7 linked regions of the Ovis aries genome follow. The protein of the gene in region 1 purifies or fractionates together with the protein of each later gene. This does not show direct contact. Links are inferred from orthologs where the notes say so. Each region holds a gene or a part of one and is shown in the gene's direction. Other genes may lie near its edges. The genes, in order: STUB1, PSMA3, DNAJB6, PKM, MAP3K5, DNAJC13 and PRMT5.

Region 1 (4,268 bases):
TGGGTCCTGCGCTTCTTGGCTGGCCTGGTGTCCTCAGCGGGGACCAGGTTGGGACCCAGGTTGGGCAGCAGGTCCGGGCACATCTTCCGCCCTACAGCCCAGGTCCACAGGGCCGTCTCCACGTGGTGTGGGGTCCACAGCCCAGATGCACTGCCTAGAGAAGGGCAGAGAGAGTCTGGGGCTCGGAGATACCGATCTTCCTACGGTCAGAGAGAGCTCTCCGTGACCACCCGGGCCGCCCGTGGTCTCCGCACCTTGGCTCAGGGCTGTTGCACGCTCCTGCACCCGGCTCAGGTAGAGCAGGTAGTGCTTGACAGTGTACTGCAGGGCGGGCAGGCCGGGCACTGCGGCCACTGCCTCCTCAGACATGAAGGCTGCCGCCTCAGGAGCTCCGGCAGCCAGTACCGCTGTGGGCAGTGAATGGACAGCACTCAGCCCCGCCTGGGCCTGGGGCTGCTGTCCCCAGCGACTCTCCTGTATCATGTATCTGGCCGTCGGACCATTTCATGGATAAGGACACTAACAGGCCAGGTTCCGCCAGCGACCCTGCCCGGGGGTGGTCCAGCTTTCCCGACTAACCCGAGGCGGTAGCCGGGCCCACGCCACGGAGGGCGCACAGAGCCATGACCGCTGCGTGCATGTCTGGCAGGAGGCGGAAGGCGGCGGCCGAACGCTGCACCACCAGCTCCGGAGAGTTGGCGGCCACGAGTTGCTGCAGGCGCGGTCGGAAGCGGCCCCTCTGTGGCCAGGTCGGGTCGGGTGTCACGGGTGGCGGCCCTCGCTGGGAGGCCCCTCAAGACTGCCACGAGGGTGAGCCCCCTGGGAAGCCCCACCCACGTGGCTGTGCCGCGCCCCAAGTGGGAAGCCTTACCGCCAGTTTCCACGCCAGCAGCCGCTGCAGCTCGTCTAGTGTCACGTGCTTCTCCGCGCGGGCCCCGATGGCCGCGGGCAGCTCCTCTCGGTACCTGGGGGAAGGCGGCGCTACGGAGTCCGGGCCACGGGGCTCGGCCCGCCCGCCCCTGCCCCCTCCGCCCTACCACCGGTCCAGCGCTTCCAGCCGCCCCTGGGGGCCCGCGCGCGCCCGCAGCACCGCCCCGCGGCACTCCAAGACGGCGGCCCAGCGGCTTGGGTCCTCACAGCTCCAGAGCCCGCCAGCCGCGGCCATCTCCCCGCGCCAGGCGAGGCCTCGGGGGCGGGGCGTCGGAGCGCGGCCGGGCGGGCGTCTGCCCGGGTGACCCAGCGCGTCGCAAACCTTGACGCCGCGTCGCGTTGCCAGAGTCCCCCTCCCTGCCGGCCCCGCCCCCACAGCGCGCCGGGGGCACGCACGGCCCCGCCCACCCGTGCGGCGGTCCGCTCCGCTGGCCCCGCCTACCTGCAGACCGGAAGTTCCGGTGGCGGAGCGCTGGACCGAGCCCGAGCGGATCGCGGGCTCGGGCTGCGGGCGCAGGGCGGGCTGGGCGCGGAGCCTGGGAGCGGAGCCCAGGCGGTGCCGTGCGGCGCCATGAAGGGCAAGGAGGAGAAGGAGGGCGGCGCACGGCTGGGCGCCGGCGGCGGCAGCCCCGAGAAGAGCCCGAGCGCACAGGAGCTCAAGGAGCAGGGCAACCGGCTCTTCGTGGGCCGCAAGTACCCGGAGGCAGCGGCCTGCTACGGCCGCGCCATCGTGAGTGCGCCCGCGCTGCGGGAGGGGCTTGGCGTCCGAGCCAGGGGAGGGGCCGAGCTGCGGCTTCTGCCGCGCGCCCTCTTCAGAACATGTCAGGCCGTGCCCGCCAGACTTTCGGAGGGAGGGGGTGGGTGCTTGGGGTCTGGGGCCAAGGCCGCGCCTTTCCCGAGCCAGTGCGGGCTGCCAGAGAACTGTGCTGGGTGGGAACCGTAGGTGTTCGAGGCCCACTGGGCTGGGGACCAGGCATCCCTGCCCCTTGAGGAGTCAAACGCGATGCTGGGGATTTCCATGAGTCCGGGAAAACTACCTTCACAAGACTCATTGGAGTCCAGAGAGTGGGCTCACGTAGGCTTCACCCTCCCTCAGAACCCAGGGGCTTGGAAGCTGAGAAAATGCTAGTGTCTTGGTTCCAACCGCGGGCCTCAAGTTGGGACGGAGTGGGCAGGCTGAGCTCACTCCCTCATGCTGGCTGGCCCGGCCTTGGTCCCCAGACCCGGAACCCCTTGGTGGCCGTGTATTACACCAACCGGGCACTGTGCTACCTGAAGATGCAGCAGCACGAGCAAGCCCTGGCCGACTGTCGGCGCGCCCTGGAGCTGGACGGGCAGTCTGTGAAGGCACACTTCTTCCTGGGGCAATGCCAGCTGGAGATGGAAAGCTATGATGAGGCTATTGCCAACCTGCAGCGAGGTGGGCTTACAGGCTAGCTGGTTCCAGGGTGCCTGGGACCAGGTGGGTGGACTGGTTGAAGTTTACCCAAATGCTCTATCCCCCAGCCTACAACCTGGCCAAGGAGCAGCGGCTCAACTTTGGGGATGACATCCCCAGTGCTCTGCGCATCGCAAAGAAGAAGCGCTGGAACAGCATCGAGGAGCGACGCATCCACCAGGAAAATGAGTTGCACTCTTACCTCACACGGCTCATTGTGGCTGAGCGTGAGAGGTGGGCTCCCCCTCTTCGAGTCACCACTCTTAGGTTAACTCTGAGGTGTGAACACAAGTGTTTATTGAAGGCCAATTCTGGCACGCAGGAGATGGAGGGAAAGGGGCCTGAATGATCCTAAGTCTGGAGTGGAGTCTGACTGCCCCTGGCCAGACCCATCTCTGAACACCTTTTGGTCAACCCCCAGGGAACTGGAAGAGTGTCAGCGGAACCACGAGGGTGACGAGGACGACAGCCACGTACGGGCCCAGCAGGCCTGCATTGAGGCCAAGCATGTGAGGGTGCCCCAGCCCGAGTGTGGGTCCTGTGTGTGCGTGCGCTGTGATGTGAGGTGCCCTGGCTCCTGCTGGGTCTGTGTCTCGGTGTCTGGGGAGGGGAGAGGGGTGTCAGGCCCACAAGTGGCTGCTTGGTTCTTTGCAGGACAAGTACTTGGCAGACATGGACGAGCTCTTCTCCCAGGTAGACGAGAAGAGAAAGGTGAGCTGCCCGTCTTCTGGGGCCGGTGGGTAGCTAGAGCAGTGTCCCTTCCCAGCCCCTGACCTGATCCAACCCTGTGTGCTGCAGAAGCGAGACATCCCTGACTACCTGTGCGGCAAGATCAGCTTTGAGCTGATGCGGGAGCCCTGCATCACGCCCAGTGGCATCACATACGACCGTAAGGACATCGAGGAGCACCTGCAGGTGAGGGTCTGTGGGCGCTGGCAGCAGGGCCCACGCGCACTGAGCAGCCCCTGACTCTGCCCTGTTGTCACTGCAGCGCGTGGGCCACTTTGACCCTGTGACTCGGAGCCCCCTGACCCAGGAACAGCTCATCCCCAACCTGGCCATGAAAGAGGTCATCGATGCCTTCATCTCTGAGAATGGCTGGGTAGAGGATTACTGAGCAGGGTGGGTGTATGGGCCACCCACCTGCCTTGCCCGGTACCCTAGTTCAGGAGGGCCTTGGGGCAGCAGCCCCTAGTTTTCTGTATATAGTTTGTGTCCCTGGATCCCTACCCTGGTGTCCCCACCCCCACCCCCATCAGTTCTGCTGGGCAACACGCCTCTCATCCTCCTTCTGGGCCGGAAAGGGGGGGTGAGGCTGGGCTGGGCTGAGGCTGCTGCCACCACCTCTGTCCCTGTAATAAAACCTGTGAGTACTGCAGGGATGTGTGCTGGTGTGCGGTGGGCTTGCCAGCCACCCCCTTTGGCTAGCCGAGGAAGGTAGAGATGAAGACGCTGGTGTCGAGGTTGAGTGTGGCATGCCACCATCGGTCCGGGAAATACAGCACCTGGCGAGGGGTTGGGGGGACATGTGGGTTGATGGGTTGGATGGGGGTCCTTGGCCTGGCTCAGCCTGGCCCGTCTGCCAGCCACTGACCTCACCAGCCTGGATAGTGCATTCCAGGGGCCGTGCAGATGGTGTCAGGGCTGGATATGTGTCCTGGAGCCAGGCCAGTGTGGTTTTGTTGGGGTGGAATTCGGGTGTCTTCTCAGGAGGGTACAGGAACCAGCGCTGGGGGTTGGCGGGGAGCAGCAAAGTTATGCTTTGTATTTTGGTCAGTGAACCCAGAGTCTCAGCCTGCACCCTGTGCTGACCTTGCGGCCATAGATCACCTCCGAGAACCCAGGTCCATGCCAGTGGAAGGGCACCCCAGAGCCAGCTCCTGTGAGGCAAGTTAGGAGC
Region 2 (4,479 bases), on another chromosome or scaffold:
CCAGGTATTTCTGCATAAGATGTTTATAAATTACAAAGGGCAAAAGTGAAACTACAGTGGAGAAATCTAAAGCAAGTGATCAAAGTTAACATCATCACTAGTGGAACAAATTGACACAATGTGCCTCCTAACATAAGGTTCTAATATGAATAGAAGGTTACTTTTGTCATATTCCTGACAAAACTGCATTTATCCAAATTGAATCATGAAAAAACATCATACAAACCTAAACTGAGGAATATCTTATAAAGCAAATGTTTTTTGTCAATAGTGTTAATGCCATGAAATCTAAAGAAATATTAAGAAAGTGTTTCCAGATTAAAGGAGACTAGAGACATGACAACTGAATACAACATGTGATCTTGGATTTTCTTTGGCTGTGAAGGGCATTATTGAGGGATTTGCCAAAATCTGTAAACAAAGTCTGCAGATTAAAAAAAAAAAAAAGGAATGGTACTTTTCTATTTTCACAGTTACAGTGTGGATATTTAAAATGATGTTCTTTTGGGGGAAATACACACGGAAGTATTTAGCAGTTTAAAAAATGCTGACAGCTTTCCATTTAAAATCAGATTAAAATTCGAACTATTATGAAATCTGATTCCATATCCACCTCTCTGATTTCATTTCCTGTCACTCTCTCCCGCTTAAGGCCATACTGACCTGACAGTTCCTATAAGCCAAGCTTATACTGAGATAACAATCCCAAATTTCCATTTAAGTATCACCCATTCGGAAAGTCATTCCTTAAATAACAGGTTTAAAGTTCAAACGTCCATTGTCTCTCTCTCTTTTTTTTTTTACCAAAAGGTGCAACTATTTGCCCATTTACTCCCTGTTGCTTGTTTCTTCCCATTGAGTGTAAAGGATGAGGTGCCGTCCCTTTCATCGTTTCATCAGCAGGATGTAACTTGAGTATTTGGGACATACAGAGTTCAACAAATAATATTTAATCAAGCTTATCCTCAATTCTACTAGAGTTATACAAAGGGTACTAATCCTGTAAAATTCCGACCTAAGCCCAGAGGTGATACCCTTAGAATGCAAGAATACAACTTTCTTCCTTCTTGTTAGAATAGGTGGATGATAGGGTTGCTTCAACATATTGGGTTAGAACCAGGCCGCCAATGGTGGAGGGAGACCTCTCCCTTACCGTTTTCTCTGGCCTTTGTAAGGGTATGAGAACATCTCTCCGTTTTGCTTTAAAAAAAAAAAATAAGGAAGCGAAAGAGAAGGATAAAAGATAAATAATAATTCTAGGAAAAGGACTGGCGGAGCTTCTCAAGCAACCAGAAGACAGAACGAATCTACGAACTCAAACCGAAGACGAAACAACCAAGAGCCTACCTAACCCCGGTGAGATTGCTTTTGCACATGCGCGTTACTTGCCGGGTGCATTTCCCGCCCCCTCCTTTCCCACAATCCTCTGTTCCGTGGACCAACGCTCCAGGAACGAGCTACAGAAAAGACTATTGGTTGAAAGAATAGTCAATGAGAGAGCTTGTTACTAGTCTCTTACTGTGGTGCTGGGGGATCGCTTTAGGCCTGAAGCCATAAGCGTCCTAGTGATTTTGGCACCATGAGCTCAATCGGCACCGGGGTGAGTTCTTTGTTTCTCTGTGTGATAGGCTAAGGATTAGCGTGGAAGGGAACGCAGACAGACCGCGGTGGGTGCGCGGACTCGGGGTCCTCTGGGACTGCCTGGGGGCAGGTGGGCCGCTTCCAGTTGTGCAGTGCCGGACGGTCTAGGCCCGCGCCTGCGGTGACCGTGACTTGACGCTTCTCAGCTCAGGTGTAGCGGGCTTGGCCGCGCAGCAGTGAGATTTGGAGCCTCTTTAAAAGGTTGCTGAGTCACTTTCTTTAGCCACTTAGGGAAACCGAAAGTGGAAACTCTTGAGGCCTGAAATGGTGTGTGTGCACGCGCTGTGAAGGACTTGGGCAACAATTAAGCTCTTGAGCACCACTGAGGCAAGGAGGCTTAAGAGTCCAAAGTTTGTGACGCCGCTTTCCAAGAACCTCTCCCCGCCTCCCCACCCTTGCGGTTCCTGGGATGCTGCTGACTCCCGGGGATTCTCTGCCTTAGCTTCGAGGTTACCGATGGACCTCTCTGTATGAGTCCCTGAAACCTTCTGAGAACTGACAAGGAAAATTGTCTAAAAAGCGGAATCTGAAGAATCTTTTACATTTTTCCGTTGTCCCAGCTTTTCTCCTAGAGGAATAACAACAGTGTGAGGTCTCGGCACCGTAAGCGTTTAAATGATTAGCTACGGACTTAACCGCTTCTTTGAACAGACTGTCCAGGATTTTGGAGTTAGATTTGTTAACTTGTTCGGCCTACTAACTTTCCTTTGTTAAACGTACTGCATATATACAGTCTTCAGCTTGTTCCTTTTATGTATTTCCCCATATAGAAAACATAGTGTTTAGAAATATTTATTCATTGGTTCCACTAGAGGCATTGGGTAATGGGTTTCTCAGTTCATCTACTCCCATTGTGCATTAGATTTTGATTCTCACCATTAGGCCCAAATACTGGTTTTCCGAGTTAGATAATAGACAATTTATACTAAGGTTGTCATACTGTTTTTGGATTAGTTGATGCTCATTGACTTTGCAACTACATTAATATTACCCTGGATTAATAGTGTTCTGAAGGGTTCTACAAACATTTTAAAAATATTTGGTAATATAAATAGGTGATAAATTTTGAGTATTACGGTGGTAAAGATCTTCGTTCGGCAGACCAACAGACCAATTACCCTAGATTAATAGTGTTCTGAAAGGTTATACAAACCCTTTAAAAATGTTTGATAATATAAATAGGTGAGATGTTTTGGTATTAATGCTGGTAGAGTTAAAGATCTTCCTTTAACAGACCAACAAGCTGAGAGGCAAGAAACACCACTATTGAAGACTTAACGCTTGTCTTGTCCCAAGAACTCCAGATGGGAAGACCTGTCTTGACATTTCTCTCCACTTGATTATTTGATAGGCATTTCAAATGACACGTCCAGAGTAGATCTCTGAGTTTTCTTCTTCTGTTGCCATTTTGCATCTCCTACAATTTACATTTCAGTGAATGGTTCAATTTTAGTTGCTTAAATGAAAAAAAAAAATCTATGGTGCACTTCTGAGTTCTTTTTTACTGTATTCCTAAAGCCAATCCATTAGCAAGGTTTTTTTGACTGCACACTCAAAGGGTAACACCTTCCACGTCTTTCTCTCTTGTCTAAGACACTCCCTTTGGATTACCCTATCTCTGCTTCCACTCTTGTTTTCTCTGTAATTCATTTACCAGATGAACAGCATTTAATAAAAAATTAGAACCTCTTCCCCTCACCCCACCCAAACTCCAATGACTTTCTATTGCATTTAGAATAAAACGTAAACTTCCTGTTCCAGCCTAAAATAAAAGACTTAGCATAACTTGGCCCTTATATGCCTCTAATATAGTTTACTGTTCTGTTTACCATTTATGGTGCTCAAGATTCAGTGGCATTATTATTTCCTTTTCTTAATTTTGCTGCTCTTGTTTCTACCCTGAGTTCTTTTATGCCAGATGCCAGGACACTCCTCCATATTCTAAATGAGTAGTTACTTGTCTTTTAGGTCTGGCTCAGCTTAAATAACATAAATATAATTTCTGTAGCAATGCCTTTCCTGATCAGGTAGTCTGTGGTATTCCCTGAGACCATAAGTTCACTTTGTCTTATTTTAGAACCTTTTATCTCCAGCACCTGGATCTGTTTGAGGTCTGATTTGAAAATGAAGGACTTTAAGAATGAGTAGTCTTTGTATTTTCTCATAGTGACTGACATATAATAGATGCTTATTAAATATCTGAATGCTGAATGATGTATCCAAGCTCCTTTAGTTCATTACTGCCACAGCTATGAGAAGCTGTGGTACTAAAGAGAAGCCAGTGTTGTTTCTACACTGGTAATGGTAATTTTTTCAGAAATGAGCCATGTTCTGTGTGGGAAAAGTTCTGACTTTACCCAGGACTTGTGTTCATTGCTTGTCAATAGCAGAAATCTAGTGTGTAACTTTTCTCTTAGCTGCTGTTCCTGCTTTGACATACTTTCCCTTTCTCTTTACAGCAAAATCTTCACTGAGATTGAACATATATTTCTGATGTGTAAACCATTTAGGAAAAAATTGTTATTACTGCCAAAGGTGCATCCTTCTAAGCTTGTTATTGCCTTTTCCTTGTAGTATGATCTGTCAGCTTCTACATTCTCTCCGGATGGAAGAGTTTTTCAAGTTGAATATGCTATGAAGGCTGTGGAAAATAGTAGGTAAGAAACAATGTTTTACTTGAAATTAGTGTTTTAGCCAAATATTAAATGTCTCCTTCTCTTTGTTATTGGTAATTAGGCTTTGTTATGTTACTTTGGCACAAATAATACATGCCCTAAAATAATCTCAATTTATTAGTCATTTCCACATTTCTCTTTAGGCCAGCTCTTTCCATGTGAC
Region 3 (4,339 bases), on another chromosome or scaffold:
GTGTTAAGTCCCAGCACTTGTCACTGGTGCCAGCTGACCGGCAGGGTCGGGGTCCCTCTGCCGTTTCTAAGCTTGGTCCTAACTTTCCTTTCAGCTGCACAGCATGTGGGCCTTCAGCTTCTTGACCGGATCAAACCCTCATTCCAGCATTGAAGGCATGGACTCTTAACCGCTGCACCACCAGGGAGGTTCCCATCCTAACTTTCTTGGGATTCCGGAGTACTTCCTGCTATGTTCATCAGGAGGAGTGGGCAGAAAGGAGAGACCTGGTGCCTGCCCAGGACGCGGCCCGAGGCAGAGGAGAGGGGGGGTCCAGGACGGGGCAGGCCGGGGGCCGGGGCAGGGGGATCTGGGCCCTGCTCCAGGAGGTTGGGGCATCTTAAAGAAAGTGCTGGAAGTCTGCCACCTTACCCTTCACCTCGCCCCACTGGCCAGAGCCGGACTGGGATGCTGTCTCCATTCTCAGTTCAGTTCAGTTCAGTCGCTCAGTCGTGTCCGAGTCTTTGCGACCCCATGAACCGCAGCACGCCAGGCCTCCCTGTCCATCACCAACTCCCGGAGTCCACCCAAACCCATGTCCATCGAGTCGGTGATGCCATCCAACCACCTCACCCTCTGTCGTCCCCTTCTCCTCCTGCCCTCAATCTCTCCCAGCATCAGGGTCTTTTCCAGGGAGTAGTATAATTAAAACAACTTTGGGGGGGAAAAAGAATTAATTCCCATCACTCCAAAATCTTCTCTGATCTTAACAGACGTAAGAAGTTACACTTATTTCACTTTGTTGTAATCAGCATGCAGTTCTAAATGGCCAAGAACCTAGACCCTGAGGCTTAATTCTAGGGAACAAAGTGGGGAAAGTGGAGGCAGGGCAGGGCAGTTTCTACCAGATCTCCCTGGAAACAGTCAGCTGCTGACCCAGCGGGACTGAGGCTTCCACCCCGAGCCCGGGGTCCCTAAGGACCAGGAACCGCCCCCCGGCAGGACAGGGGGCCCACCAGCTGGCGGAGGGCCTCGGCTCTCCCGGGGTGGCTGGAGCGCGCCCGTGCCCCACGGGGACGCTGGCCAACAGCCCCTTCCAGAGGCGGCTGCAGCTCTGGGAGGATTGAAACCCCGGCCAGTTGGATCTGGTTCGTCTGCCTCTATCGTTCTGACCCGCAAATCCTGCTAATACCGGGACTGCTTGCCAAGTGATGAGGGGCTGGAAAGACGAGGGGCGTCCGGCTGCTGTAAGGGCGCCAAGAGCCACGTGGGTGCAGATAGAATGGAAGGAATGTGGGCCGCGGCCAGCGGGCGCCCGGCAACCAGAGACCTGGGCGCGGCCGCGGGCTTGCTCGCCGGTCAGGTCAGGTGAGCGAGACTTCCGGCTCCTGATGCCCGGAGGAAGGGGCCTGGAGCCTGCGGCGAGCCGCCCGCCCCCCGGAAACGGAAACGACCCCAGGAGCAGCGGGACTCCGGCGGGCGGACCACGCAGCCGTCGGGCTTCCCGGCTTCGTGAGCGCCTTCACTCTGGATAAAAAGGTGCAGTTCAGACAGACGAGAGCCCGCCTTACTTTCAGCCCTCGCGGGTGGCTGTCCTGAGCTGACCCCCTCATCTGTTGAGCGGTGTGAGGTTTCCTGGGGTCATCCTGGTGACGGCTGTGGGTCTGAGAGCCGGGCGGTGTCTAAGTGAGGGCGGCTGGCGGGCTCCCAGGCCTGCCTTCTTTCTGGAAAACGCAGGCCCGCGTGGATGGCTAACGCCGCTGATGCTCACTGTGAGACGTCGGCAGGCATGCAGACGCGCCCCTGGTGGGGTCCCTTTGCTGGGCCTTTGGGGCCCAGCTCTCAGAGCCCTGGGGGCTCCTGCAACCCCAGCCTGAGAAGCTTCACCTCTAAGCACCTCTGAGCGGCTGGTGGTCTGCCTGCATCCTCTCCTTCCCACCCCGGAGCACAGTAAGGCCTCTCCTTCCCGGAGGGTGACCGCTGGCCGAGCTGGCTGCTGAGGCAATGTCCCGAGTCCATCAGAGGGTGAACGGGACACAGGACAGGAGCGGGCCGGGGACCCGGGCACTGAGGCACGTCTGTGTGGCCCTCCTCTGCCTGCACAGCACAGGGAACTGCTGGGGGGCAGGGTCACAGAAAGGCAGCCCGCCCCTCAGCGCCAGTATTCCCCAGAGGGCCTCAGTCCCCTGAGCCTGACGCCCCCACCCCCATGGCTGGCAGGACTGTGAGCCTGGAGCCTGCACCCAGGGAGCTCGGAGCCTGCCCTCTGGCTACAGAATTGCCCCTGGCCCCCTAGGTTGCTCTTTGGGCCCCGGGCTGGCCGTCAGCATCCTTCCGGCTGGAGCGAGCCCTCTGGGCCAAGGTTTTCCTGGACCACCATCTCCAGCCTCTGGGTGCAGGAAGGTGTCAGTACGCATTCACCCATCTAGTCCATAAACATTTGCGGAGACCTACTCTGTGCTTCAGACCCTGGAAGGCACTGGGGGTTGGGCATGGGGCTGTGGGTGCTGGCTGGAGGGGTAGCCAGTACTGGGAGGGTTAGGGCTACGGTGATTCTGATGGACGTCCCCAGGGAGGAGAGGCCTGGGAGGGTCTACTTCCAAAGGGCCTGATTTCCAGGGCACGGGGCACAGAAGACACAGGTGCTGGGTGCAGCTGCAGAGAGTGGTCCCCTCGAAGCCGGGGGACTCGGGAACGAGAGGGAGCAGGCCTTCTGTCCAGGCTGGGGAACTGACCCGAGGTGACCCCTGCGTGGGCACCGGCCCCGGGACGTCCCTGCTGCCCCACGTCCACTCCACTCCACGCCAGGCCTCCCTCGGACAGGCTGGGAGTCTTCCTCCTCCTCGACGTCAGAACAAAGTGAGACGCTGTGGATGCAGCTGGGGACTCTGTTGGGGAGGAAACTCTTTCCTTGCTCTTCTAGACTCTGGCCAGTCTAACAGTTAAACTGACATAAGACAGAGTAACAGGAAGAAAGCAACTTCCATCCCTGCGGGGGCCCCATAAAAGCTGAACTGACTCTAGGTACATGCACGCTCATGTCTGACTCTTTGCAACCCATGGACTGTGGCCCTCCAGGCTCCTCTGTCCTGGGGAGTCTCCAGGCAAGAATGCTGTGGTGAGCTGCCACACCCTCCTCCCGGGGACCTTCCCGACCCAGGGATCGAACCTCTGACTCTCATTCTTCTTACTCTTCACCCACAGCATTGACAGGTGGGTTCTTCACCACCAGCGCCGCCTGGGAAGGCCAGGGTGACTCTGGCCCCCTTCAGTTGCACGTTAGATCACGTTCTTGCACGAACGTCTCTTTTCTTACGAGTGATGACGTTCGACACGAGGAAGCTTTCCTTATGAGATCATACGTGCTAAGACAGCTGGAGGCAAAATGTCAGGATGTCTGTAACCCGCGTTCAGATGGCTCAGCAAAAACTGGAAAAGGAAGAAAGACTGAGCTGAGGGGCAGCAGCAGTTGGCGAATGGAGGCGAAGACACCTGTTCATTCGACTGCTTTTTCAATTTTCCCGGAGTTCTGAGAAACTAAGAACTCAGAGTAGGGGGGCAGGGTCTGTGTTGAAGGGACAGTCTGTTAGAGCTGGGGGGTCAGGGGGCTGCCCTGGCTCCATCTTGGGCGGGGGGGGGGGGGGTTCCATTTGCTGGTGGCTATGTGCTGGGGAAGCCCTGTCCTGTGACCATAGTTTCCATTTCAACCCCAGACAGCCCTTTCCAGCTTCATCTGGGCTTCAGAACAGTAGGGTGTGTGAGGGAGGCTCAGGATGGGGGGACGCGGGTCCACCTACGGCTGATTCAACAGAAACCAACCAATCCTGCAAAGCAATTATCCTTCAATTAAAACTAAATAATTTTTTTAAGTCAAATATGTTAAGAGATAAAGTAAAAAAGTAGCGGGGGGAAGTGAGGGGAATATGCCAGCTTACTGGGAACCCGGACACGGTCATCCTGCAGGGATGCTGCTGGAGAGGAGAGGCCGTCCACTAGAGAAGCTTTCAAGGGGTGAGCGAGGACCCATGTGGCTTCAGCTACAGAACCGCGCTCCTTCTCTCTGCTTGTCCTTCTCGGAGTGTAGGAAGTGCCGTGACAGGCGGTGAATCTCCGGGACCGGCAGGTTCCCGCTTCCTCCTCTTCTCAGCTGGGTGCGCTGTGCCCGGGCAGTGGGTCTGAGCTCTAAGAGAGGGCGCCAAGCTGCTCTCACTCCTTTGCAGAGCAAGTGGCGGTCCGCTGGAGGAGGCCTCACTTCCAGGAGTTCTTTCCTGTTCCCAGGCCCCCGAGGCTGCCTCGGGCACCCCTCTGCCTCGTCTCTGAGCCTCAGTTTCGTCCTCTGGAGATCCGAGGGACCTGGTTC
Region 4 (4,260 bases), on another chromosome or scaffold:
TAAGCCACCCTCTTTCTCTGGATAGAGAAGAATCTGATTCCCTCTGGTAAAGCATGATTTTTTTTTTTTCCTTCTCAGCAACTTCATGAGCTCTTACCACCTCAGTAACGAAGCATTCACTCCCTCTCTGCAACTGAGGGAACCAGAAACAGCTTATAGAAGAGATTAAAATATTTTATCTTAAACAAATTAATGTTGTTACTTTTTGTCAGCTTATCTGAGCTAACAGGAAAGCATAATGAAGGCCTGTGATTCAGCTGCAGGCAGGGTGTCTGCCTGAGTGGGTCACACCCATTGGTCTCTTTTTTCCAGGAAAAGGAAAGAACCTAATAGTATTCACGATTTTTAACATTGTATCTGCTCAAAATTTGGCGGAAAGAAGGCAAGAGTTAACAGTTGCTTCTTAGATAACTGCTGTGATCACTAGGAAATGAGAAAATGCCTTAAGGAAAAATACAAGAAAAGCTCCAACAATATTGATTAAAATACACAAGGTTGAAAACAGAAATTCTTACTTTGGCAGAGATTATGAGATCTAACTTTATGACATTTCCTGATATGGTCAGTCCTGCACTAATATTAATACCTTCTATTCACTTTCTACTCTCAGGCACTCGCACCGCAGGACTCCAGTCCCTACTAAAGTCTTCACATGGCCTCTACTTGTCCTTTGTTCTAAACCCTAAGAACAAAAGGGCCTCGCGCTCCCCCTCCTAGCACACTCCGCCCTCCCGCGTTCTCCCCGCCCTCCCCTGTTCTACCCCCGTTCCAGTGTAGGAGCCCCTCCTAAGGCGGCCGGGACCTCCAACCATCCCATGAGTCTACATCCCCCACCCCACCCCTGACTGTTCGGTTCAGTCTTCGGGGCGTGCGCTGGGGCGGGCACCCGGGCCAGGGGATTGCTGCCCGGGGACCCATAAATCTGGGCACTATCTGGGTAGGCCAGAGCCACTCAGCTGGGGTGGCCTGGGCCAAGGGTCAAGAGAAGACCTGGTCCAGTATTCCAAGTTGGCCGCAACAGGTGGCCTGGGCGCCGGGGGGTCTGGGAGGGAGGTCTCCAGAGCTCCGAGGGCGGGTCCTCCCGTCTCGCCGCTTCCCCATTGGGCTCTGCAGAACCTCAATGCTGCGAGTTTTATTTTTCGTGTCCTTCCGCCACGGAATGTAGTCCTCCCTCAAAGGGCAACCTGATTCCCCCGTTCCGCCTCCGCCGCACTTCCTACTGAAGGTGACTGCCCGGCGAGGACGCGGAGGGGCGGGGCCCCGAGAGCCGGGAGCCAGGATTGGGTGGGAGGCGGGGCGGCGGAGGGATTGCGGCGGCCCACAGTCGGGATAACCTTGAGGCTAAGGCAGCGGATCTCCGCATTGGAGCGACGCGTCGCGAGCCTCCGGACTTGTGTGCAGTAGCAGCGCATCCCGAGCCGGAGCACGTCGGAGGTGAGCGTGGGGAGAGACTGGGCCATCGTCTCCCGGGGCAGTGCGGAATGCTGGCCCGCCTGCGGACCCAGGATGGCGCAGGGTCCGGGGCATCTTGGGCTCACCCGGTTGGGATCAGAAAAGAGGAGAAAGGCTGCTTGTGCCTAGGATCTCCTTCAAAGCCCCCAGCTCCCGCTTCTTCCGAAGGCAGACGGGTCAGCCAGCCCCTTTCCTGCCCCAGTCCCTGACCTCCCATCCCCATTCTGGTCCCATTCTCACCTCCCTATTCCTCCCTCTTCGACCTGGTCTCGCTCTCCTCTTCCTCCCTTTATTCTCCTAATTTGATAGTTTCCTTTCATGCGTCAGTCTCCCCCGTTTCCACTCTGCTCCTATGCCCGTCCCTTTCCCATCATCCTTAATACTCGCTTCTTGTTTTCAACCTGTCCGTGTCCCCCTCATTCTGATGCTTTCTTTGTAACTTCTCCTTGAAACTCCCCAAGCTCCGCTCCCCTGTTCCTCCTCCATTCAGCTGCTGTCCCCTTCTAGTACCTACCCTCATTCACGCGCTGGCTCCCGCCCCTCCCCCGCCTCTCTGGTCACGTCCGCTCCAGCGCATCCCTCTCCTGCGCACCTTCCTTCGCGCCACCAGCCTCCTCGCCCCTCCCCCTCTGTTCTGGTCACGTCCGCCTGCTCTCCGTCCCCGCCCCTCGGCCTCCCATCTCCTGCCCCCCCTTCTCCATCGTAGTTCCCCAGCCCGGGGCTGGAGTTCCGGGGTCAGTCCCGAAGTGCATTGGTCTGCGGATGGGCAGGCTGGCTCCCAGGCGGCCCGGAGATGGATGCAGTGGCGGCCGGAGGCGCAGTTAGAGGGTTACGTAACCCTTGGTCTAACCCGCTGCAGAGGAAGAAAGGGTGGCTGCCCAGTGGCGCGTTCCTGTTTTGTGCCGCCCAGAATACGATAGAGCGGCCGCAGCGCTCCGCTTGCTCCGGGGGGCGTTGGGGGTGGGGGCGGTGCCCCGGGCTCCATCCCGCCGAGGCGGGGCTGCACGTAGCGGCGCCGGACCCGCCCTGCCGCGCCCGCTCCTCGGCTTCAGGAAACTCTGACCCTCGGGCCCGTTACCGACCAAGCATCATCTCCGGCCCGACAAGCTTCTGGATGCTGCTCAGAGGCCTCCTCGAGTTCGAGGCACTCACCTGGCTCCCTGCCTGTGCTTCACGTTACTTAACAGCGTTGCCTAACAGATGCGCCCGATTGTAGAGCGCGGAGGCCGCGGGTTGAGGAGAGTAGAAATATATCAAGAGCTTGGTGCCACGTACACACGCTCATTCATTAAAAACTCGTATAAAGAGTTGTTTGGGGGAGGGCTGTGGAGACCAGACCAGATTGACTAAAATCGTCCTAGCCCACAGAGCTCAGTCCGATTAGGAAACGAATGTAAAAGTTACCACTGATAAGTGCCGTGAAGAAGGTACACGCGGGCTTCCACACGTGGAGGGTACGCACTTCCTGTCGGGGTTTAGGAGGCCTCACCAGGTGGCATCACACGGGGTGTGATGAAGCGGAAAAGCACCTTCCAGTCTGAAGATTATTTGAAGACTCAGTAATGGGTTGGCATCTCTTGTCTTCTTATCTATGTTCTTCAAACCCGGGACACTGACCCTCCCCCATACAAATGAGCCTGATAACTGAGGTCCAGACATGACGGACAGAGGCAGTGGGAAGTTGAAAACAGGCTTTCAGAATCAGGTTTAACTCATTACATACTGATAGGAATAATAGGGGGAATTCAGCCTCAGGACCTGTTTCCCATGTGAAAATTGTAACTATTTTCATCTTGGGTGTTGAAAGGGTGGGTCGCTATATACATACTTAAACATAGATACATATTGAGTGTCTATACAGGGTGCAGTGTCTAATCTCTGGTGCGATGCCTCCAGATGTATTCTTTTGGTCACTGAGCCCAATGACTTCATCTATAATTGAACTCGAGCGCTCCTCTTCTTGCTGCCATCCCGAAACGGTCATAGTTCATCTTTGGGAGTCAGGCTGTATGTAAATACCAGAGATCTAGAAACCAGTCGCTCAGGAATCCTGCTACAGTGTTGGCAAAGTAACTAACAATGTTACCTTGCTACTCTCCACTTGCAACAGGGGCTTTTTGGTCCTCCAGCCAAAGGAAGGCAAGAAGGGAGATGGCTTTCAGCCTTTGGTATTATAGCTTTTGGCTATAAGATTAGAAACAAACTTGGAAACCTAAAACTAAAATCTTCAGGTTCTATTGGCACCTACTCCAGGTAGCATTCTGGGATTTGCTCAGCCAGCTGGTGTGAGATTAAGATAAGAGGCAAAGGACAGTAGCTCCTTGTTTGCTGTCTGCAGGGTGTGGCCACTCCCTGGGGTGTAGAGGAGGCTCTAGGTCGGGACTCTACAGCATTGTTAGCAAATAATTCACCCTCAGGTTGCCTGAGGATGCTGTTGGGAATGCAGGGGGAGCTTTTCTGAGGGGAGGAGTATGTAACATCACCAGATCTGTGTTGGGGGTGGGGTGGGGGAGGATGTAGGGAAGATGACTCAACCTTTGAATTTTTCCGCTTTTAAGAGAACTGTCTTCGTTGGGTGAGTGGGGAAACCACTGTCGTCTTTGCAGGCTTAAGAATCCCCTCTCCCCTTTCAGTGAGTCAAATAGTGAAGTATGCATTCCTCCCAGTTAAGAGCACCTCAGCTAGGTGACGATAGTGGAGGCCCCCAGGCTCTCTGGACAGTGCTTAATTGCCACGTGGCAGAGCCTCAGGCCCCAGTGATAGTCTGCACCCCTGTCCTGAGCCTTGTGCAATGGATGTGGCAACCCT
Region 5 (4,143 bases), on another chromosome or scaffold:
GTCCCTGGGATTCTCCAGGCAAGAACACTGGGGTGGGTTGCCATTGCCTTCTCCAATGCATGAAAGTGAAAAGTAAAAGCGAGGTCGCTCAGTCGTGTCCGACTCTTCGCGACCCCATGGACTGCAGCCTACCAGGCTCCTCCGCCCATGGGATTTTCCAGGCAAGAGTACTGGAGTGGGGTGCCATCGCCTTCTCCGATTCACGACAGCAGAGCTATTGAAAACTTGAAAACGTAAAGTACCAGGGGCAGACCCGATAAATTCAGCCTGCCACTCCCGCAGAGCCACTGTCACCAATACACCACTCTCCAGTTGAGGCCGCCTGCAGGACCGTAGTTAAAATCCTCGGGCCTAGCGCCACGCGGGCCTCCCCACGCTACCCTCTTGCTCCCGGCGCGCACATGGGACCCGACCGCACGGCGGTGCTAGGCCGGCACCGGCCGGAGGAGGGCGCCGTGGTTACGGGGAACGTGGCGCGTGCCTCCTGGCGCTGGCTAAGACCCGAGTATTCGCAAGAGAGACTTTTTTTGTGCCATCCTATAGTCGCCTGCTCTCCGGGCTTTTGCCTACTCCAGGTTGTCTTGGGTGGGGAGCCCAGTGGGTGACGGAGGAGAACCTTGGCCTCGCGCGGTGCTCCGGGCTGGGCCGTGGTCCGGGAGCCGCGACGCGGTCGGTTTCGTCCGGACTCGAGCTTCCCAGCAGCGCCCTCCCCCGGGGCGGGCCCAGACTTTCGGTGCCGCGACGAGTGGGCGGCAAAAAGCCGGTGGCGGACCGGGCGAGCGGCTTCAAGGAGCGGGGAGACTCGAGCTACCAGGCTGGTGCCGGGGACGAAGCGGCCGCGGCAATCGGAAGAGAACGGGGCCGGGGCAGGAGGAGGAAACAGAGCCGATGAAGGGGAGCTGCCGCCGAGGAAGGAGGCGGATCCCTTCGGCGGCTGCTGCCGCTGTTCCGGGACGCGGTCCAGGGAGTCTGCCCGCCCGCGAGGTGCTGGCCAGGTAGCTCCCCACCCAGAGGGCGCCCTCCCCGGCCCCTCCCAGGGTGCCCGGCACGGAAGGAGCCGGGACCGCGTTCCCGGGTGGCCAGGGCGCACCGCACCCGGAGAGCGGCGCCCTTGAGCCGCACCGCCTAGCAGGTTCGCGAGCCGACTTGTCCGCCGGCCAAGAAAAGGAAGCCCTGTCCCTTCCCGCTCAGCCCGGCTCCCCACCCCTTGTACTCTACACCCTGCAGCGGGCGAGCGGCGCGGCCACGGAGGCGCCGAGGAGGGGCGAGCCGCCGCCGGGCAGCGGCGTCCCTTCGGGGGAGAGGGCGCCGGAGAGGAGGCGGCGGCGCGGCGCGGAAGGCGCAACGCGGGATGGCAGCTGCTTAGCAAGGCGCGCACGGAGCAGCCCCGAACTGTGGCTGGCCAGACGGTGCGGCTGGGCGGGAGACGCCGCCGCGGCAGTCCGGCCGGGAGAGATGAGCGCGGAGGCGGGCGAGGGCATCACTTTCTCCGTGCCGCCCTTCGCCGAGGGCGGCAGCTACCGGAGGGGAGGAGCGGCGACGGCGGCCGAGGGCGAGGAGACCCAGCTGCCACCGCCGCCACCGGGCAGCTTCTGGAACGTGGAAAGTGCCGCCGCTCCCGGCGCCGGGTGTCCCAGTGCCACCGCTGGGAGCAGCGCCACCCGGTGCCGGGGCAACTCTGGGGGCGGAGGCGGCCGACGGACCACGGTGGCCTATGTCATCAACGAGGCGAGCCAGGGGCAGCTGGTGGTGGCCGAGAGCGAGGCCCTGCAGTGCCTGCGGGAGGCGTGCGAGACGGTGGGCGCCGCCCTGGAGACCCTGCATTTTGGGAAACTGGACTTTGGAGAAACTGCGGTGCTGGACCGATTTTACAATGCAGGTGCGTGCGACTTTACAATGCAGGGCCCCAGCCTCCGCGGTCGGGGGCCACCGCAGGGGGAAAGCTGTTGTTTCCCACCCCCACCCCCCTGCTCCCGTAGAAAAAATCGATCAGTTTCTGGGCAGCAATCGAGCATCTTACTTATTTACTTCTTGCCCCACCTTAGGGGCAGTGAGCGGCGCTGCGTGACTGCTCGGCTCGCTCGCAGCTTGTGGCAGAGAATCTGACCCCCCGGCCGCCGGCCCGCTCTGGGAATCCAGGGGTGCGTGTGGTCCTCTTGAAGAACTTCTGTTCGCCTGCAGTGCGAGTTACTTGTCCCAGTCAGCCCTGCCCTATTCAGTGTTTTGGTTTCTCTTCTGTTAGATTTGGCCCACATTTTCCTTCTATATATACCTGTGCCTGTTTTAGAAGATGTCCTCATTTTTTTCCGTGTACTTTTGAGAGTACAAAAATTCTGACTTCTGCCACGCAGCCAGCTGCACGCAGAGTGGATCTGTGTGAATTTGCATGTTATGTCACGATCTTCCCAACTCCCTTTCCCTGAAGTTTAGTGGCTTGATTTCCCATCTCTTACCAATTTGAATTGTCAAGTAATTACTTTGAAAAGCAACTTTTGTAACTTGACACTAAACTTGCGAGATATCTCTGTTGGAATTTTGGTGAAAAAGAGCAGAGTATGTTTTTTATGACTCCATATACCCCGATGGGCTGGCAAGTAGATAATTTAACATTATGTAAAACGCTGATATGCAGTTTTAGTAACTAAGTTAGGTTGGCCATTAAAGTGTGCCCATTAAAGTGACTGCTAGAGTAATTCACGAAAAAAAATCTTTTCAGCCTATTACAGATTTCAGAAAGTGTCACTGCGATTCAAGTGACTGAAGCAATTTGCTATCTGCTAGCAAATGTTAGAGATAAAAGCATGTTACTGAAATTAACCTTTAGCACCCTGTACAACCAATGTTGAGAATATATACATTTTTTTTAATAAGTGTGGGCATAAAATTTGATTTAATGGTGCTTTCAGACAATAAGTTTCTTGCATTGTGATCACATAGAAGGTTTTATATTCCAATCTTGTTTCCAGTTCTGATTCTCTTCAGTCTTTTCAGAACACCTGAAGAAGGCTTATGTCAGTCTTGGAATTCAGCCAAAACTGAATATTTTAAGAACAAGAACTTCATGTTAAGGAAGCCAGATTAAATAAACTAGGATTTTCTGGTTCTGGTGTATTTTACCATCTTAGTCTTCATAACTGGACATGGGTAGAACATAGTTTAGCTCGGTTCTTTGTGTGACTTGCTGTAAAAATTACATAAATATAACATTTCTAAAAATTACAGCATTTTTATTTTTGAATTATAATTTGGAAAAAGCTTCAAAGAACTGAAAGATATATGAGGAAAACACCCAATGAAATGCTAAACCTATTTTTATTGTTTTGATAGATTGGGTATTTTTTTTATAAAATAATCTTTAAGCTAATTTGAAAGACTTTCCTAACAAGGTTCATGTAATGTTTATTCTCCAAATACTATCTCTGGGAAAGGGAGAGAGAAAGATTAGAAGGTACCAGACATTTGAAATGTATCTCATTTAATACTCCAAACAAGCCTATGAGGGAAGTAGTACTTAGCTATCTTCTTAGATGAGAAAACCAAGGGCTCCATCACTGGTTCAAGGTCATGGATAATAACTGGTCAATGGAGGGTCCCACTTTGAGTGCCTGACTCTAAAAGGTCCGGCTTCACCCTTGCTACGTCCATTTAGCTGGACTGATTTATTCTCAGAATTAAGAGAGGGAAACGTCAAACTCATGGTAGAGAGCTGGCAGGGACCCTGTGAGCCATTGTGTGCTTTGTGGAATAGTGGGGAGGAGGGCACATTTTAGGGAGACCAGTGTTTCCGGGCCAGCTCTGTCCCATCCCACTGGTGAGCTCAACTAGGCAGGCCCCAGTTTCACCCCTGCCTGTGACATGAACCCTCAGGTCTCTCATTCAGCAAGAAAACGTTGAAGATGTGGCAGAATGAAAATGGTATCGGTTTTGTTTTCTAAACTGAGGGAGGCCAAGGTGAACAGTAGTAGAACTCGACTTCTGATTTCTAAGAGAGCACTTGCTTGTCCTCTGTAAAGGGCCAGATGGCATAAACGTTGTAGATTTCGCTGGAGGTGTCTCTCACACCTCCTCGGCTCTGCAGGTGTTACTCAAGCGGAGCCATAAAGAGGACCTAAATAAATCATCATGGCTGTATTCCAACAAAAT
Region 6 (3,681 bases), on another chromosome or scaffold:
AGCAAACCATTCAATATCACAGTAATCCAAGTCTATGCCCTGACCAGTAATGCTGAAGAAGCTGAAGTTGAATGGTTCTATGAAGACCTAGAAGACCTTTTAGAACTAACACCCCAAAAAGATGTCCTTTTCATTATAGGGGACTGGAATGCAAAAGTAGGAAGTCAGGAAACACCTGGAGTAACAGGCAAATTTGGCTTTGGAGTACAGAATGAAGCAGGGCAAAGGCTAATAGAGTTTTGCCAAGAGAATGCACTGGTCATAGCAAACATCCTCTTCCAGCAACCCAAGAGAAGACTCTACATGTGGACATCACCAGATGGCCAACAGTGAAATCAGATTGGTTATATTCTTTGCAGCCAAAGATGGAGAAGCTCTATACAGTCAGCAAAAAGACCAGGAGCTGACTGGATCTGATCATGAACTCTTTATACACTTTCTCCTGAAGAAAGTGGGGAAAACCACTAGACCATTCAGGTATGACCTAAATCAAATCCCTTATGACTATACAGTGGAAGTGAGAAATAGATTTAAGGGACTAGATCTGACAAACAGAGTACCTGATAAACTATGGATAGAGGTTCGTGACATTGTACAGGAGACAGGAATCAAGACCATCCCCATGGAAAAGAAATGCAAAAAAGCAAAATGGCTGTCTAGGGAGGCCTTACAAATAGCTGTGAAAAGAAGAGGCGAAAAGCAAAGGAGAAAAGGAAAGATATACCCATTTGAATGCAGAGTTCCAAAGAATAGCAAGGAGATATAAGAAAGCCTTCCTCACTGATCAGTGCAAAGAAATAGAGGGAAAAAAAAATAGAATGGGATAGACTAGAGATCTCTTCAAGAAAATTAGAGATACCAAGGGAACATTTCTTGCAAAGGTGGGCTCCATAAAGGACAGAAATGGTAGGGACCTAACAGAAACAGAAGATATTAAGAAGAGGAGGCAAGAATGAACAGAAGAACTGTACAAAAAAGATCTTCACAACCCAGATAATCACAATGGTGTGATCACTCTCACTTACCTAGAGCCAGACATCCTGGAATGTGAAGTCAAGTGGGCCTTAGGAAGCATCAACACTACGAACAAAGCTAGTGGGGGTGATGGAATTCCAGTTGAGCTATTTCAGATCCTAAAAGATGACGCTGTGAAAGTGCTGCACTCAATATGCCAGCAAATTTGGAAAACTCGGTGGCCACAGGACTGGAAAAGATCAGTTTTTATTCCAATCTCAAAGAAAGGCAATGCCAGAGAATGCTCAAGCTACCGCACAATTGCACGCATCTCACATGCTAGTACAGTAATGATCAAAATTCTCCAAGACAGGCTTCAGCAATATGTGAACCGTGAACTTCCAGATGTTCCAGCTGGTTTTAGAAAAGGCAGAGGAACCAGAGATCAAGTTGCCAACTTCCACTGGATCATTGAAAATGTAAGAAAGTTCCAGAAAAACATCTACTTCTGCTTTATTGACTATGCCAAAGCCTTTGACTGTGTGGATCACAAAATACTGTGGAAAATTCTGAAGGAGATGGGACTACCAGACCACCTGACCTGCCTCTTGAGAAACCTGTATGCAGGTCAGGAAGCACCAGTTAGAACTGGACATGGAACAATAGACTGATTCCAAATAGGAAAAGGAGTACGTCAAGGCTGTATGTTGTCACCCTGCTTATTTACCTTATATGCAGAGTACATCATGAGAAACTCTGGGCTGGAAGAAGCACAAGCTGAAATCAAGATTGCTGAGAGAAATATCAATAACCTCAGATATGCAGATGACACCACCCTTATGGCAGAAAGTGAAGAAGAACTAAAGAACCTCTTGATGAAAGTGAAAGAGGAAAGAAAAAATTCCCTTAAAGCTCAACATTCAGAAAACTTAAGATCATGGCATCCAGTCCCATCACTTCATGGCAAATAGATGCGGAAACAGTGTCAGACTTTATTTTTTTCGGCTCCAAAATCACTGCAGATGGCTATTGCAGCCATGAAATTAAAAGACGCTTACTCCTTGGAAGGAAAGTTATGACCAACCTAGACAGCATATTAAAAAGCAGAGACATTACTTTGTCAACAAAGGTCTGTTTAGTTAAGGCTATGGTTTTTCCAGTGGTCGTGTACGGATGTGAGAATTGGACTATAATGAAAGCTGAGCACCAAAGAATTGATGCTTTTGAACTGTAGTGTTGGAGAAGCCTCTCAAGAGTCCAAGTCCCTTGGACTGCAAGGAGAGCCAACCAGTCCATCCTAAAGGAGATCAGTCCTGGGTGTTCATTGGAAGGACTGATGTTGAAGCTGAAACTCCAGTACTTTGGCCACCTGATAAAGACTCTGATGCTGGGAAGGATTGAGGCCAGGAGGAGGAGGGGACGACAGAGGATGGGGTGGTTGGATGGCATCACTGACTCAGTGGACATGGGTTTGGGTAGGCTCTGGCAGTTGATGTTGGACAGAGAGGCCTGGTGTGCTGCTCTTCATGGGGTCGTAGAGTTGGACACAATTGAGCATCTCAACTGATATGATACTGTCTTTAGTTAGCCTCAACATTCTTAATTGAATAAACATAAACCTCCAGATGGCCAAAGTAAAAATGTCGTTAAGAATTTGAGTAGTAGCTCTAAAATTTTATAATACAGATTTTCTTTTTTTTTTTTTTTCTGCAATGAGTGATACATTAGATGTAATGGTGTTTTATGGTAACCTGAAATATAAATTTAAAAGTATTATTGTTTTTCTCTGCAGAGATATAACTGCTATAAGCATCACTGGAGTGATACAAGAAAACCTGTCATTTTGGAAGTAACGCCAGGAGGCTTTGATCAGATTAATCCTGCAACAAACAGAGTCCTCTGTTCCTATGACTATAGAAATATTGAAGGCTTTGTAGATCTCTCTGATTATCAAGGAGGGTTTTGTATACTTTATGGAGGATTTAGTAGATTGGTAAGTAGTGTTTTTAAAAAGTTATCTTAAAAGAGACATGACCATTTGAAGGAAAGCAGAGTGTTTACACTTAATTTTGAAATTTCCTTTGAGTCCTCTGGAAGGAAGTATGGTATTTTGGGTGCAGGCTTTGGTATCAGGTAGACCTCAGCTTGAATTCCAATTTGCTGCTCTCTAAAATGTGGAGAATAATATGTGTATGTCTTAGGTTTTTTGATCAAATGAGATACTTTATGTAAAATTCTTAGCACAGTATGTCACTTAATATTTAATAAACAGTGATCACAGTTTTATTTTCATTAGTATTAATGTGTTACTTGAAAGTTTCTAAACTTTCTTTGAAAAGTTACATTAAACTATCTTTTTTTATAGTTTTCTTTCCTTTGCCCAGCTATTTGTAATCTGAAATCTGAATAGACTTTGAAAATTCAAATTTGGAGTTCATTGCATGTTTTTGTCTTGAAATTCTGAGTTACATGTAAATTTTGGGACACAGCAGAAACCTCTTAAGGTGCTGAGACCCTGTTTTTTAATTGGCAGTAGAAACAGAGCTATAGATTATGACCATTTTTTTTTATAAGGAACATCCTGCCTTTCTTGATTAAACCCCACACCTCAGAGATGAACATTCGAGTGTCCAGATGGAGAGGCTCAGCTGAACTTACTCTCAGAGTCCTTTCTCTTAAGATTTTAAATCCTATAGCTACCTTAATATCCTGGGAACACTACTCCCA
Region 7 (4,182 bases), on another chromosome or scaffold:
TTATCCTATCCACACCCATTCCGTATTTCTCAGAACTCTGATCCCTCACGGGCTACGTCATCTCATCCAGTCTCGTGGCTAAAGTCACTACCTCTCCTGGCGATTTCCAAATCTTGTCTGGCTCTGATCACTATTCCTCCAACTCTCTATTACACAGCGCCCCCTAGACGTCCAATTCAGCATTTCCAAACCCAAACCCTGATTCTCCCTAAAAGAGCTTCTCATTTCCTGTAGCACTCAAAGAGGCCAAAATCTTGGGCTTCAGCCGCAGACTTCCCTTATCAGGCTTCCTGTCCGTTGGTCACTAAGTTCTGTGACCTCCTGCCTCGGGCCTTCCGTATTGTGTTCTCTATCCATCCTCGCTGCCAGGCCCTCAACACCTCTGGGTCTTCAGGTTCTCTTTCTCCTCCCTATATCTTTCTTTGCTTCGTTCTTTTCCATCCCTGTAGCAGGTGTTCACAAAGAAAATGTAGAAATTCTCTAGAAAGGAAAATGTTGAGATTCTCTCAGGTCTCCGCCAGGCTGTTCATAACTCCTCTCCACTGTAATTCCTCACCATGAGTTTTTTTTTCTTTTCCTTCCTATCTTCAGTGTGTGTTTAGATGTTTATTTACTTTTTGTTTGTTTGAGATATAGAATAGAAAGGAGTTGGTGGCTAAATTGCCACAATCTATTAAAAAATATACTAAGGCCCATACAAAGCCCAATTTAGTCATTACCTCAATTTTCTCAGGATTTTGAAGGACCTAAATAGAGACACAAGAACCATCTTTGAATTAGGCAATGGAAAACGCTGACATAAAATGGCTGCAGAACGCAATAAAATTATGAGCTAAAAATGAGGGTAAGAGGAGATCATAAGGAAATTTAGAAAGGGAAGAACGGGATACTTTCAAAATACTGCTTATGACAGTATTGCATGGGATGCAACAAAAACACACGCGTCTCCCCGAGCCAGCCAGGAGTCGAACCTGGAATCTTCTGATCCGTAGTCAGACGCGTTATCCATTGCGCCACTGGCCCCGAGACGACTTCGCTGGCCCCAATGATGACACTTCAAGCTTATACTGCAGGGCTTCATGGGACGTGTAGTCTCTGCACGGAGTTCTACGAGTACACGAAGCATTATGGGAGATTAAGTTCGTCGAGAATCAGACCCTGAGATTGGTGACTGTTCCGAAGCCTCGCCGTACGTCACTGTGAAGCCCGCGGATTGGCGAGAAGAGCCACTCCCCACCCTTCCTCCTCCAGCTCTAGAGCCGTGGGAGACGCTCTGGTTGTTAAGGTGAAACGTCCCGCCTTCTGGGGGCTTTTTTCCGGCTTTGTGATTGGCTGCTAGCTTCAGGGAATCTCGGCGTGGATTGCGCGAGGGAAAAGATGGCGGCGATGGCGGTCGGTGGTGCCGGTGGAAGCCGCGTGTCCAGCGGGAGGGACCTGAATTGCGTCCCCGAAATAGCTGACACACTGGGGGCTGTGGCCAAGCAGGGGTGAGGGCCTGGACCTCCGCGAGCTGAATGCGGGGTCCGAACTCGGGGACCGAGAGGGACAGACCAGTCATCCCCGAGAGGCAGGGGTGAGGGGGTCGAAGTGGATGAGACCAGGGCGGGAGAAACCATTTAGTCCTTCGGGGGGAGAAGCCTCGGGCCCTGGAGCTTGAGAGGAGGGCGGGAAACTTATTGGGGGCGTGTGGTCACTGAACCCCAAAGTCGGAGGAGTTATCAAGTAAATTCAAAAAGGGGGCGTAGAGACCTCCAGGGCCCCGTGTGAGATTGGGAGAAATAGTTAGGAGGTTAGGGAGAGGAGAGTTAAACCATGAGGGGGGATACTTAGGCAGTACTGCTGCCGATCTGGATGTGACAGTCTCGGAAAACCAGTGACAGCAGAGTAGAAAGTCCACGTGGTGTGGATATTCATCTTTTCTCTTAACTCATCTTTTCCATGGCTGTGTCCTGGCGAGAAATTGAGGCACAGTGCAGCGGAAGTGATATGCCCCAAGGTTGGCTGAATTCAGCAGTCTAGTCGGGTCGCTGGTGGCAGCTGAAAGGGTTGTGCAGAATCAAGAGAGCCAGTCCAATTACTTGGATCTCTGGGCACTGCTGCTGTCTTTACATGACGATTCTGGGTCTGTCGCGGTTGTAGGTTTGATTTCCTCTGCATGCCTGTGTTCCACCCGCGTTTCAAGAGGGAATTCACTCAGGAACCTGCTAAGAGTCGGCCGGGCCCCCAGACACGATCAGACCTACTGCTGTCAGGAAGGGGTAGGGAGCATCCCACATGCCCCTTAATTATTAGAGGCAGTAACAACTTATGCTTTATCAGTGCCTTCCTCCTCTTCCTTTCTTCACTTGGATATATTGGTTCGCCCCACGGATATAGATAACTCCTTACCTACCTACTAAAAGCCTTAGTTCCCTATTCTGTCAGGCTCTCCTGTATCTGTGATAGAAAAAGTCTTTGTCTCATCTGTAACTCTATTCCCTGTTAAGAACTAGAAATTGAATGAGTAAAGTGCTGAACCTTATTTAGTCTTTGTCTTTCTTGGGTGGGGGAGTGCAGACTGGAATACACTAATTGTGGGAAAGCTTTCTCCATGGATTCGTCCAGACTCAAAAGTGGAGAAGATACGCAGGAACTCTGAGGCGGTAAGACTGACCTCTTCACTGACTAAATATCAGTAAACAAGTTGGGTGGGGAGAGCACTTTTTCCCCACTCTGTAACTTAGTAAATTTGATATAATGCAATTAAAGCTATTTGAGTTGCTAGCTCTTAACTTTATCCTTTTAATCTCTATTCCAGGCTATGTTACAGGAGCTGAATTTTGGGGCATATTTGGGTCTTCCAGCTTTTCTGCTGCCCCTAAATCAGGAAGATAACACAAACTTGGCGAGAGTTTTGACCAATCACATCCACACTGGCCACCACTCCTCCATGGTATGGCAAGGGCTTCCTTCCCTGCTGCATATTATGATAGTCAGGCTGTGCTAAGTATCTTCTTGTTCCTAGCCATTCAGTGAAGGGTGCATTTGGGAGAACTGAAATGTCAGTACTGCCTACCCACACTAAGAGTGGTGAGCAAAGTATTATAAAACGTATAGAATATCAGTTATTTCCCACAACTTCTAGAGATAAAAGACAACATATAATCACAAATTGGGAATAGGATATAAGGGGATTAGCTTGAAATCTGGATCAAGATCTTTTTAATTGAAGGAAGCTTTCTGGACCCAATGGGTTCAAAACAGTTCTAAATAGGGTGTGGAACCTATTTATTGTTCATGTGCAGTTCTGGATGCGGGTGCCATTGGTGGCACCAGAGGACCTGAGAGATGATATAATTGAGAACGCACCAACTTCTCACACAGAGGAGTACAGTGGAGAGGAGAAGACATGGATGTGGTATGTTTCCTTTTGCCACTGTACCTGGGGTGGAGGGAAGTACAGAGTGGAACCTGTAGGAAGGTCTCCCTGAGGTGTGGTGATTAGTGGGCCGTATGTATTTGATGGAGCTTCCCTGGTGGCTCAGACAGTAAATGGTCCGCCTGCAATGCTGGAGACCTGGGTTCAATCCCTAGGTCAGGAAGACCCTCTGGAGAAGGAACTGGCAACCCACTCTAGTATTCTTGCCTGGAAAATTCCATGGACAGAGGAGCCTGGAGGGCTGCAGTCCATGGAGTCACAAGAGTTGGACATGACTGAGCAACTAACTTCTGTGTTTTAACTCTGCACAGGTGGCACAACTTCCGGACCTTGTGTGATTACAGCAAGAGGATTGCAGTGGGTGAGTCCACAAAGATCCTGGGATAGGTTATCCTTCTCTGAAATCCTGTGACTAAAAATCAGGAGTCTCATGTATACTTGGCTGCTGGGGCATACTTTCTCCATGCTTTAGTCTGCCTTGCTCTTAAGGAGGAGACAGATCTTGCACAAAAGAGCATGCAAAGATTCTGGCCTGTATGATTGACAGGTCTTTGTTTTCCCTTTTGTAGCTCTTGAAATTGGTGCTGACCTCCCATCTAACCATGTCATTGATCGTTGGCTTGGGGAGCCCATCAAAGCAGCCATTCTCCCCACCAGCATTTTCCTGACCAATAAGAAGGGATTCCCTGTTCTTTCTAAGATGCACCAGAGGCTGATCTTCCGACTTCTCAAGGTGTGTAGTGGAAGGGTTCTAAAGGTGTTCC

The links.
Region 2: the proteins of STUB1 (region 1) and PSMA3 purify together in Homo sapiens (affinity purification with western blotting; 3 studies listed by BioGRID, with this or other methods). This does not show direct contact. The link is inferred for Ovis aries from reciprocal best matches to the Homo sapiens genes STUB1 and PSMA3.
Region 3: the proteins of STUB1 (region 1) and DNAJB6 purify together in Homo sapiens (affinity purification with mass spectrometry; 4 studies listed by BioGRID and IntAct, with this or other methods). This does not show direct contact. The link is inferred for Ovis aries from reciprocal best matches to the Homo sapiens genes STUB1 and DNAJB6.
Region 4: the proteins of STUB1 (region 1) and PKM purify together in Homo sapiens (affinity purification with western blotting; 3 studies listed by BioGRID, with this or other methods). This does not show direct contact. The link is inferred for Ovis aries from reciprocal best matches to the Homo sapiens genes STUB1 and PKM.
Region 5: the proteins of STUB1 (region 1) and MAP3K5 purify together in Homo sapiens (affinity purification with western blotting; 3 studies listed by BioGRID). This does not show direct contact. The link is inferred for Ovis aries from reciprocal best matches to the Homo sapiens genes STUB1 and MAP3K5.
Region 6: the proteins of STUB1 (region 1) and DNAJC13 purify together in Homo sapiens (affinity purification with mass spectrometry; 3 studies listed by BioGRID and IntAct, with this or other methods). This does not show direct contact. The link is inferred for Ovis aries from reciprocal best matches to the Homo sapiens genes STUB1 and DNAJC13.
Region 7: the proteins of STUB1 (region 1) and PRMT5 purify together in Homo sapiens (affinity purification with western blotting; 3 studies listed by BioGRID and IntAct, with this or other methods). This does not show direct contact. The link is inferred for Ovis aries from reciprocal best matches to the Homo sapiens genes STUB1 and PRMT5.

What each region holds. Positions count from the first base shown.
Region 1 is NC_056077.1:1,117,772-1,122,039, forward strand, and holds STUB1 (E3 ubiquitin-protein ligase CHIP), read left to right. Parts: upstream 1-1,501; coding exon 1,502-1,660; exon of another isoform or gene 1,661-1,666; intron 1,667-2,151; coding exon 2,152-2,350; intron 2,351-2,436; coding exon 2,437-2,602; intron 2,603-2,643; exon of another isoform or gene 2,644-2,789; coding exon 2,790-2,877; exon of another isoform or gene 2,878-3,022; coding exon 3,023-3,079; exon of another isoform or gene 3,080-3,166; coding exon 3,167-3,283; exon of another isoform or gene 3,284-3,359; coding exon 3,360-3,485; 3' UTR 3,486-3,746; downstream 3,747-4,268. Other genes in the region: uncharacterized protein LOC101103616, read right to left, coding at 1-154, 255-407, 580-739, 872-965, 1,373-1,503; JMJD8 (jmjC domain-containing protein 8), read right to left, coding at 3,793-3,873, 3,963-4,097, 4,181-4,248. UniProt on the Homo sapiens protein: E3 ubiquitin-protein ligase which targets misfolded chaperone substrates towards proteasomal degradation.
Region 2 is NC_056060.1:68,603,228-68,607,706, forward strand, and holds the start of PSMA3 (proteasome subunit alpha type-3), read left to right. Parts: upstream 1-1,517; 5' UTR 1,518-1,579; coding exon 1,580-1,600; intron 1,601-4,215; coding exon 4,216-4,298; intron 4,299-4,479. UniProt on the Homo sapiens protein: Component of the 20S core proteasome complex involved in the proteolytic degradation of most intracellular proteins. This complex plays numerous essential roles within the cell by associating with different regulatory particles.
Region 3 is NC_056057.1:120,185,025-120,189,363, forward strand, and holds the start of DNAJB6 (dnaJ homolog subfamily B member 6), read left to right. Parts: upstream 1-1,418; 5' UTR 1,419-1,518; exon of another isoform or gene 1,519-4,339. UniProt on the Homo sapiens protein: Has a stimulatory effect on the ATPase activity of HSP70 in a dose-dependent and time-dependent manner and hence acts as a co-chaperone of HSP70. Plays an indispensable role in the organization of KRT8/KRT18 filaments.
Region 4 is NC_056060.1:19,006,323-19,010,582, reverse strand, and holds the start of PKM (pyruvate kinase PKM), read left to right. Parts: upstream 1-1,359; 5' UTR 1,360-1,434; intron 1,435-4,260. UniProt on the Homo sapiens protein: Catalyzes the final rate-limiting step of glycolysis by mediating the transfer of a phosphoryl group from phosphoenolpyruvate (PEP) to ADP, generating ATP.
Region 5 is NC_056061.1:62,061,390-62,065,532, reverse strand, and holds the start of MAP3K5 (mitogen-activated protein kinase kinase kinase 5), read left to right. Parts: upstream 1-1,209; 5' UTR 1,210-1,455; coding exon 1,456-1,879; exon of another isoform or gene 1,880-4,143. UniProt on the Homo sapiens protein: Serine/threonine kinase which acts as an essential component of the MAP kinase signal transduction pathway. Plays an important role in the cascades of cellular responses evoked by changes in the environment.
Region 6 is NC_056054.1:257,886,262-257,889,942, reverse strand, and holds part of DNAJC13 (dnaJ homolog subfamily C member 13), read left to right. Parts: intron 1-2,746; coding exon 2,747-2,947; intron 2,948-3,681.
Region 7 is NC_056060.1:21,732,764-21,736,945, forward strand, and holds the start of PRMT5 (protein arginine N-methyltransferase 5), read left to right. Parts: upstream 1-1,363; 5' UTR 1,364-1,377; coding exon 1,378-1,487; exon of another isoform or gene 1,488-1,514; coding exon of another isoform or gene 1,515-1,573; intron 1,574-2,139; coding exon 2,140-2,258; intron 2,259-2,556; coding exon 2,557-2,642; intron 2,643-2,797; coding exon 2,798-2,932; intron 2,933-3,284; coding exon 3,285-3,397; intron 3,398-3,729; coding exon 3,730-3,779; intron 3,780-3,987; coding exon 3,988-4,151; intron 4,152-4,182. UniProt on the Homo sapiens protein: Arginine methyltransferase that can both catalyze the formation of omega-N monomethylarginine (MMA) and symmetrical dimethylarginine (sDMA), with a preference for the formation of MMA.